2 linked regions of the Saccharomyces cerevisiae S288C genome follow. Each later gene encodes a partner of the first gene's protein in a complex. Each region holds a gene or a part of one and is shown in the gene's direction. Other genes may lie near its edges.

The links.
Region 2: the proteins of CDC5 (region 1) and DBF4 are in contact, whole or in part, in a crystal structure (PDB 6MF6), measured with the Saccharomyces cerevisiae proteins. Residues at the interface, in NP_013714.1 of Saccharomyces cerevisiae: Glu553 (codon at 3,203), Trp555 (codon at 3,209), Trp565 (codon at 3,239), Val566 (codon at 3,242), Ala567 (codon at 3,245), His569 (codon at 3,251), Asp611 (codon at 3,377), Asp612 (codon at 3,380), Val613 (codon at 3,383), Phe614 (codon at 3,386), Arg616 (codon at 3,392), Ser630 (codon at 3,434); in NP_010337.3 of Saccharomyces cerevisiae: Arg83 (codon at 1,807), Ser84 (codon at 1,810), Ile85 (codon at 1,813), Glu86 (codon at 1,816), Gly87 (codon at 1,819), Ala88 (codon at 1,822), Val89 (codon at 1,825), Gln90 (codon at 1,828).

Annotation. Positions count from the first base shown.
Region 1 is NC_001145.3:268,345-272,682, reverse strand, and holds CDC5 (polo kinase CDC5), read left to right. Parts: upstream 1-1,546; coding exon 1,547-3,664; downstream 3,665-4,338. Other genes in the region: MIX17 (Mix17p), read right to left, coding at 20-490; YMR001C-A (uncharacterized protein), read left to right, coding at 1,106-1,336. UniProt on the Saccharomyces cerevisiae protein: Protein kinase required for the cell cycle where it is involved in mitotic exit. A component of the fear (CDC14 early anaphase release) network which promotes CDC14 release from the nucleolus during early anaphase. Phosphorylates SCC1/MCD1 and NET1.
Region 2 is NC_001136.10:556,125-562,185, reverse strand, and holds DBF4 (protein serine/threonine kinase activating protein DBF4), read left to right. Parts: upstream 1-1,560; coding exon 1,561-3,675; downstream 3,676-6,061. Other genes in the region: SCF E2 ubiquitin-protein ligase catalytic subunit CDC34, read left to right, coding at 1-746; acid phosphatase DET1, read left to right, coding at 4,126-5,130; triose-phosphate isomerase TPI1, read left to right, coding at 5,714-6,061. UniProt on the Saccharomyces cerevisiae protein: Regulatory subunit of the CDC7-DBF4 kinase, also called DBF4-dependent kinase (DDK), which is involved in cell cycle regulation of premitotic and premeiotic chromosome replication and in chromosome segregation.

The DNA of each region.
Region 1 (4,338 bases):
AATTTTTGAGCTTTTAAACTTAGTATTGACGTGCAGCTTCCTGGCAGGCTTTTAGTTGCTGCAAGTAATAATCACATATCTGGAAGTTGCCGTTGTTTTCATCCAAACAACGTGTAAAGTTTCTCGCGTCTATTTCACAAGTTCTTCCCAACTGCTGGTCCGTTTGGGTTTGGCCGGAGGTGTTGGCCATATTTTGCTGTTGTTGCTCAACAGGAGCGGAATCAGACCCGGATCCGGAAAACATACCGGTAATACCTGCACCTAGGGTGTGTCCAATGGTGCTACCAACGGCAACACCTGCAGCAGTGGAGGCCATCTGCGCAAACATACCTGGCTGTCTCGTTTGGGCACCTGCAGCAGGAGGGTGTGAATAGGCATTTGGTTGTTGTTGTTGTTGTGGATGAACTGGAGCCGCCATGGTAGAAGCGGACCTTGTCTGAGTAGGTCTCGATCTCGATATAGGTCTTGATGATCCTCTTGAACGTGCCATATTTTAGAATTTTGTTGCTGTTGTTGCTTTTCTTGTTCTGTTCTTTGTTCGAAATATTAATCCTTTTTCTTAAAGGTTATAAACTGTACGAGTGATAGGCTTATATAGGTCGCGGAGATTGCGGTGGAGTGAAAAAGCGCTTTTCTTTTATACCTTTGTTCAAGGTGGCGTTTGCCGTATAAAAGCACACATGACATAACCGAACCTCGGAAAATGAAGTTGCACTGTTATTGCCTTCCAGATGTGTAGAATCATCACCATCTTCTGTGATAAATGAAGAGGGAATCGTACGAGGACGCCAGCATATTTTTACATCAAAATTTATGTTATTGTTGAAGGAACATTGAAAAGATAGGGCGGGCAAAATCTGCGATCAAGCCTATCCTCTTTCATCTCAGCTGTTCTAGATGCGTTACCCGGTGGTAACTTCACTGCATATTATTACTTTATATACCTTATTCTATATGTTGCCCGGGTAGGGCATTATGTAGCATCACCCGGAAGAACTTTTGGACTTTTCTCTGTCAAAAGATATTACCTAAAAGGGTCAAAACAAAACAAACCCAATAAAGAAAATCCAAAATATAGAACGAATAAATATCTCGAGGACCTGGGATGATCTTTGAATGTACATCCTTTGAAACAAGGCATATCTTGAACAGTTACTCTTGTGCTACTCAACTTTCGTACAATACATATAGAATCACTGAGAAAGTAAATCCAATTCAAGCGGCAGTTTCAAAGAACAATAAGCCTTTTGTGTCAAATTCTGATTCTGCTTTTTTTCCTATTTTTTCATCCTTCAATTTTGTGGCATATACTACATTAACTTTCAAGAAAACTTAAAAAAGAAAAGACAAAAAAGCTAAACTGCATAGTCAAGTTTGTATAATTGAGCTGAGTATTATTTTTTGTACACAAAAACATTGGCTTTCTTATATCTTCTCTATATATACTCTCTTTCATTCATCGATAAACGTTACATTTGTTATTCATAGAGAATAAAAATCACAGCCGTGGAGAAGAAAGAACAGAGTAAGATCAAGTCGAATAAAGATGTCGTTGGGTCCTCTTAAAGCTATCAATGATAAGCAATTGAATACCCGTTCCAAGTTAGTTCACACCCCAATAAAGGGAAATACCGCAGACCTCGTAGGAAAAGAAAATCACTTTAAACAAACAAAGAGACTAGATCCGAATAATGATCATCACCACCAGCCAGCTCAAAAAAAGAAAAGGGAAAAGTTATCAGCTTTGTGTAAAACACCACCTTCATTAATCAAAACAAGAGGAAAAGACTATCACCGAGGTCATTTTTTAGGTGAAGGTGGATTTGCTCGCTGTTTCCAAATTAAGGACGATTCAGGCGAAATTTTTGCTGCCAAAACAGTTGCTAAAGCCTCAATTAAATCAGAGAAGACAAGAAAAAAGTTGTTGTCGGAGATTCAAATTCATAAAAGTATGTCCCATCCAAATATCGTTCAGTTTATTGATTGTTTTGAGGATGATAGCAATGTCTATATCTTATTGGAGATATGCCCCAACGGTTCATTAATGGAATTACTAAAAAGAAGAAAAGTTTTAACAGAACCAGAAGTTAGATTTTTCACCACTCAAATATGTGGTGCAATTAAGTATATGCATTCAAGAAGAGTTATACATAGAGATTTAAAACTTGGTAACATCTTCTTCGATTCAAACTATAACTTAAAGATTGGTGACTTCGGTCTGGCAGCTGTGTTGGCGAATGAAAGTGAACGTAAATACACCATATGCGGAACACCTAATTACATCGCACCTGAAGTGTTGATGGGTAAGCATTCTGGACATTCATTTGAAGTAGATATTTGGTCATTAGGTGTTATGCTTTATGCTTTGTTGATTGGTAAGCCACCCTTCCAAGCAAGAGATGTAAACACTATTTATGAAAGAATCAAATGTCGTGATTTTTCGTTTCCAAGAGATAAACCAATCTCAGATGAAGGTAAGATTTTAATAAGAGACATTCTATCCTTAGATCCAATAGAAAGGCCCTCTTTGACTGAAATTATGGATTATGTATGGTTTAGGGGAACTTTCCCACCATCTATTCCTTCGACGGTCATGTCAGAAGCACCAAATTTTGAGGATATTCCTGAAGAGCAGTCACTGGTTAACTTCAAAGATTGCATGGAAAAATCTCTACTATTAGAAAGCATGAGCAGCGATAAAATTCAGCGTCAAAAGAGGGATTATATTTCTTCAATTAAATCTAGTATCGATAAACTAGAAGAGTACCACCAAAACAGACCATTTTTACCACATTCTTTATCCCCTGGCGGGACGAAACAGAAATATAAGGAGGTTGTTGATATAGAGGCACAAAGAAGATTAAACGATTTGGCTCGTGAAGCAAGGATACGTAGAGCACAACAGGCCGTTTTGAGAAAAGAATTAATAGCTACATCGACCAATGTCATTAAATCAGAAATCTCCTTGAGAATATTAGCCAGTGAGTGTCATCTTACTTTGAATGGCATTGTAGAAGCAGAAGCTCAGTATAAAATGGGAGGTCTTCCGAAATCAAGATTGCCTAAAATTAAACACCCAATGATAGTTACCAAGTGGGTCGACTACTCCAACAAACACGGATTCTCCTATCAGTTATCAACAGAGGATATTGGTGTCTTATTTAATAATGGCACCACAGTTCTCCGATTGGCAGATGCAGAAGAGTTTTGGTATATTAGTTATGACGATCGGGAAGGTTGGGTAGCAAGTCATTATTTATTGAGCGAAAAACCACGAGAGCTAAGTAGACATTTAGAAGTAGTTGATTTTTTTGCCAAGTACATGAAGGCAAATTTGAGCCGAGTATCTACGTTTGGCAGAGAAGAATATCATAAAGATGATGTATTTTTGAGAAGATACACAAGGTATAAACCATTTGTTATGTTTGAACTAAGTGATGGTACTTTCCAGTTCAATTTCAAAGATCATCATAAAATGGCAATATCCGACGGAGGTAAATTGGTGACCTACATTTCTCCCTCCCATGAAAGCACCACATATCCCTTAGTTGAAGTACTAAAATATGGCGAGATCCCAGGATATCCAGAAAGTAACTTTAGAGAGAAACTAACTTTGATAAAGGAAGGTTTGAAGCAGAAGTCCACAATTGTTACCGTAGATTAAACCAATATTAAAGTAGAAAGAAATACGAATACGAAATTACCAGTCCATTGATTGGGCCCCATTAATAACTAATACTAAATAAAATAAATGGTCTTGCCCTTAACGAAGATAATATATAATATTTACCCCTAGCATTAATACCCTTTTTCTAAAGGTACGAAATGAACAAACATCTTTCATGTTAGTTCTTCCTTTTCAATAGTTCTCATATAGCGTTTTTTTTCGCCTGAGCGGTTCTAGAGCTATATCTATTCAAAATTGCCATGCTTTTGTATTCATATTGTATGTATGGGATGATAACCTGTCGCTTCCTGAGATTTTCTCAAAAATATTGTTTTGAACCTAGATTTCTTTTTAATTATTCTTACAGGTGCCCATTGGAAGAGTGACAACATTAATTTTGAAAGCTATTCACTTGGTACATCCGCGGTTTACCAATTTTTAAGTTTTATCAAAAGCTGGCTTACTTGACATGTATCTACAAACTTAAGAATACTATTATGGGCAGTTATTTGCTAATTCTTTGTTACCTAGTTAAAATCCAAAAAATCCTGATTTATATTCATTTTATTACTGTATTCCTTTTTTCAAGGCGGGAGAAACTTATACCGCCATAGTAAAATAAATAGTGACTAAGGTAGCCAGAACTTCTCATCAACAAATTGCGAAATTAA
Region 2 (6,061 bases), on another chromosome or scaffold:
TGCTAAATGAGGATTCCATTTATCATGGAGGGTTTTTCAAAGCTCAAATGAGATTTCCGGAAGACTTTCCCTTTTCTCCACCACAGTTTCGATTTACGCCGGCTATCTACCATCCAAACGTTTACAGGGATGGCAGGCTTTGTATTTCTATTTTACATCAAAGTGGGGATCCTATGACCGACGAACCTGATGCTGAAACGTGGTCCCCCGTGCAGACCGTGGAAAGTGTGTTGATCTCTATAGTATCTCTATTAGAGGACCCCAATATCAACTCGCCAGCAAATGTCGATGCCGCTGTTGATTACAGAAAGAACCCTGAACAATACAAGCAAAGAGTCAAAATGGAAGTGGAAAGATCGAAACAAGATATCCCTAAAGGTTTCATAATGCCCACTTCTGAATCGGCGTACATATCTCAAAGTAAACTAGATGAACCAGAATCGAATAAGGATATGGCGGATAATTTTTGGTATGATAGTGATTTGGACGACGATGAGAACGGGTCCGTCATTTTACAAGACGACGACTACGACGATGGAAACAACCATATCCCCTTTGAAGATGATGACGTTTACAACTATAACGACAACGACGACGATGACGAAAGAATCGAATTCGAAGATGATGACGATGATGACGACGATAGTATAGATAACGACAGCGTCATGGATAGGAAACAACCCCACAAGGCTGAAGATGAAAGTGAAGATGTGGAGGATGTAGAAAGAGTTTCAAAGAAAATATAAAAAAGAACAGTAAGAAAGAAGACAAAATTTAACAAAACATATTCAGCTCAAACGCAAAACATGAATCAATTTATACATACGCGATACGTTGTCGATAAAGCACTTTACATTTTTCCCTATGATAATCTGAGATTGACAGGGGAAGAAGAAAATAACTAAGTGTCGAAGAAAAATTTAGAAAAATTAATTCATCATCCCATTTTACTTCTCGCAGTACACCGTACGAAAGAAGAAGGTAAAGAATTGAGAAAAAAAGTGTATATCATTACATTACTTTACACCACCTTATAACCACAAACGTGTATATTAAGAAAGTTTTTTAAAAAGAAAGAAATAAGAAAACCAAATCCGTCCCACTAATAGTTTCTAAGTTACTGTACTTTTTTTTTTTGAATATATATCACCATACATATGTATATAAATATATATTTGTGTGTGTGTGTTTATATCTATATCTCTTTGCATCTAATTCCTCATTACCTTTTTTATTTTTATTTTCTTATCGGTTCTTGGCTAACGCCTAAGTTTCTTTTAATATTTTACCCGCAGTAAGTAAATGGTTTTTTTTTTGCAAACGCGTCTTAGGTCGATCTTTGCGAAAAAGAAAAAAATAAAGAAATAACGATAATAATAACGGTAATGGCTCAGGCCAAGAAAAACAAAAATCAAGTTGCATAGTCTATACTCAGCCAGGTGTAGATTCCTTTAGATCTGAATTCGCTTGCAGGGCTAGTTATCTTCAGAATTCAAGGTTTGAATCTGAAAGGCATTTGGAATTCTGCTTTTGGTTCATATTTAGAAAAGAAAGAAGAAAATGGTTTCTCCAACGAAAATGATAATAAGGTCTCCGTTAAAGGAAACAGATACCAACTTGAAACATAATAATGGAATTGCCGCATCAACAACAGCAGCGGGCCACTTGAATGTGTTTTCTAACGACAATAATTGCAACAATAACAATACCACTGAATCCTTTCCGAAGAAAAGATCTCTTGAGCGCCTCGAGCTCCAACAGCAGCAGCATTTGCATGAAAAGAAAAGGGCCAGAATAGAAAGGGCCAGGTCTATTGAAGGCGCTGTCCAAGTCAGCAAAGGTACGGGTCTGAAAAATGTCGAGCCAAGGGTTACGCCTAAGGAATTGCTGGAATGGCAAACAAATTGGAAAAAGATAATGAAAAGAGATTCTCGCATTTACTTTGACATTACTGATGATGTAGAGATGAATACATATAATAAGTCCAAGATGGACAAACGCAGAGATTTATTGAAAAGAGGGTTTCTTACATTGGGTGCGCAAATAACTCAATTTTTTGACACTACTGTCACAATAGTTATCACAAGAAGGTCTGTTGAGAACATATATTTACTAAAAGATACCGACATTTTATCGAGAGCTAAAAAAAACTACATGAAAGTTTGGAGTTACGAAAAGGCTGCCAGATTTCTGAAAAATCTTGATGTTGATTTGGATCATTTGAGCAAGACTAAATCTGCTTCTTTAGCTGCGCCCACATTGTCCAATCTTCTACACAATGAAAAATTATATGGACCAACGGATAGAGACCCCAGAACTAAAAGAGACGATATTCACTACTTTAAATATCCTCATGTATACCTTTATGACCTATGGCAAACTTGGGCCCCCATAATAACTTTGGAATGGAAACCTCAAGAACTAACAAACTTAGACGAACTACCTTACCCAATATTGAAAATAGGTTCATTCGGAAGATGCCCTTTTATAGGGGATAGGAATTATGACGAAAGTTCTTATAAGCGCGTAGTAAAGAGATACTCGAGAGACAAAGCAAACAAAAAATATGCACTGCAACTTCGTGCTCTATTTCAATATCATGCCGACACCTTACTGAATACGTCATCAGTTAATGATCAAACGAAAAACCTAATATTCATACCTCACACATGCAACGATTCTACCAAGAGCTTCAAAAAATGGATGCAAGAAAAGGCAAAAAATTTTGAGAAGACCGAGTTAAAGAAGACGGATGATAGCGCAGTTCAAGATGTTCGTAATGAACATGCTGACCAAACCGATGAAAAAAATAGTATATTATTAAATGAAACTGAAACCAAAGAGCCTCCGTTGAAAGAAGAAAAAGAAAATAAACAATCTATAGCAGAAGAATCGAATAAGTACCCACAGCGAAAAGAGCTGGCTGCCACACCAAAACTAAACCATCCAGTATTAGCTACTTTTGCAAGGCAAGAAACTGAAGAAGTGCCGGATGATTTGTGCACTTTGAAAACAAAGTCACGTCAGGCATTTGAAATCAAAGCAAGTGGTGCACATCAATCTAATGATGTGGCAACCTCTTTTGGCAATGGTTTGGGCCCAACAAGAGCAAGCGTCATGAGTAAGAACATGAAGTCATTAAGTAGACTAATGGTTGATAGAAAGCTGGGAGTAAAGCAGACAAATGGAAATAACAAAAATTATACAGCCACTATAGCAACTACTGCTGAAACATCAAAGGAAAATAGACACAGATTAGATTTTAATGCTTTGAAAAAAGACGAAGCCCCTTCGAAAGAGACGGGCAAAGATAGTGCTGTACACTTAGAAACTAATAGAAAGCCCCAGAATTTCCCTAAGGTAGCTACCAAATCAGTCTCCGCAGACTCCAAAGTTCATAATGACATCAAGATAACAACCACAGAATCTCCAACAGCATCGAAGAAATCAACTTCCACAAACGTCACCTTACATTTTAACGCACAGACAGCACAGACAGCACAGCCGGTGAAGAAAGAAACGGTAAAAAATTCCGGATACTGTGAAAATTGTCGTGTAAAATACGAATCTTTAGAACAACACATAGTTTCTGAGAAGCATTTGTCTTTCGCTGAAAACGATTTAAATTTTGAGGCTATTGACTCGTTAATTGAAAATCTCAGATTTCAAATATAGGGACACGACGTAAAGTGCAGTAGCTTTTAGTGATAAAATCAAAATAGTATTGTTCCGTTTCCATTGCTGCTCGGAACAAAAAAGCTATCAACGGCAATGTTATTGAATCACTTTCTCATTCACCCTTGTTACTTTCTTGCTATTGACTTAACTCTTATTTACTCGTCCATATATTATCAATTGCATATATATACATATACATATATATATTATCATCTAGATTAATTACCGTTCATATCATAACTCATTCTGAACAAATAATGATCGAGTACCCACCGCGGTTAATGTCCCAGTTTTCATTTTTACCCGATATCCTGCAGAGACCGAGAGGCATGAAAAAAAAAAAGCTAGTTCTCAACTGCATTAATTGCAGCTCGTATTCATGGTTCAACATAAAAGAACTTACGCTACAGCATTCCATTTGAATAACTCAGAGTATTAGTAAAAGAAATGTGTGAAGAGAATGTTCATGTTAGTGAAGATGTTGCTGGCAGTCACGGTTCTTTTACGAATGCCAGACCTAGGTTAATTGTACTAATAAGGCATGGGGAAAGCGAATCAAATAAAAACAAGGAGGTCAATGGTTATATTCCTAACCATCTGATTTCTTTAACGAAAACAGGTCAAATCCAAGCTAGACAAGCTGGTATTGACTTATTACGTGTTTTAAACGTAGACGATCACAACTTGGTGGAGGATTTGGCTAAGAAGTATATTAAAGATGAAAGTAGCAGGAGAACTTTACCGCTGAAGGACTATACCAGGCTGAGTAGAGAAAAAGACACAAACATAGTTTTTTATACATCACCCTATAGAAGAGCAAGGGAAACATTGAAAGGTATTTTGGACGTCATCGATGAATATAATGAATTAAACAGTGGTGTTCGTATATGTGAAGATATGAGATATGATCCACATGGTAAACAGAAACATGCATTTTGGCCGAGAGGACTTAATAATACTGGTGGTGTTTACGAAAATAATGAAGATAATATTTGTGAAGGGAAGCCTGGAAAATGTTATCTGCAATATCGGGTTAAGGATGAGCCAAGAATAAGGGAACAAGATTTTGGTAATTTCCAAAAAATCAATAGCATGCAGGACGTTATGAAGAAGAGATCTACGTATGGTCATTTCTTCTTCAGATTCCCTCATGGAGAAAGTGCGGCAGATGTATATGACAGAGTCGCCAGTTTCCAAGAGACTTTATTCAGGCACTTCCATGATAGGCAAGAGAGAAGACCCAGAGATGTTGTTGTCCTAGTTACACATGGTATTTATTCCAGAGTATTCCTGATGAAATGGTTTAGATGGACATACGAAGAGTTTGAATCGTTTACCAATGTTCCTAACGGGAGCGTAATGGTGATGGAACTGGACGAATCCATCAATAGATACGTCCTGAGGACCGTGCTACCCAAATGGACTGATTGTGAGGGAGACCTAACTACATAGTGTTTAAAGATTACGGATATTTAACTTACTTAGAATAATGCCATTTTTTTGAGTTATAATAATCCTACGTTAGTGTGAGCGGGATTTAAACTGTGAGGACCTTAATACATTCAGACACTTCTGCGGTATCACCCTACTTATTCCCTTCGAGATTATATCTAGGAACCCATCAGGTTGGTGGAAGATTACCCGTTCTAAGACTTTTCAGCTTCCTCTATTGATGTTACACCTGGACACCCCTTTTCTGGCATCCAGTTTTTAATCTTCAGTGGCATGTGAGATTCTCCGAAATTAATTAAAGCAATCACACAATTCTCTCGGATACCACCTCGGTTGAAACTGACAGGTGGTTTGTTACGCATGCTAATGCAAAGGAGCCTATATACCTTTGGCTCGGCTGCTGTAACAGGGAATATAAAGGGCAGCATAATTTAGGAGTTTAGTGAACTTGCAACATTTACTATTTTCCCTTCTTACGTAAATATTTTTCTTTTTAATTCTAAATCAATCTTTTTCAATTTTTTGTTTGTATTCTTTTCTTGCTTAAATCTATAACTACAAAAAACACATACATAAACTAAAAATGGCTAGAACTTTCTTTGTCGGTGGTAACTTTAAATTAAACGGTTCCAAACAATCCATTAAGGAAATTGTTGAAAGATTGAACACTGCTTCTATCCCAGAAAATGTCGAAGTTGTTATCTGTCCTCCAGCTACCTACTTAGACTACTCTGTCTCTTTGGTTAAGAAGCCACAAGTCACTGTCGGTGCTCAAAACGCCTACTTGAAGGCTTCTGGTGCTTTCACCGGTGAAAACTCCGTTGACCAAATCAAGGATGTTGGTGCTAAGTGGGTTATTTTGGGTCACTCCGAAAGAAGATCTTACTTCCACGAAGATGACAAGTTCATTGCTGACAAGACCAAGTTCGCT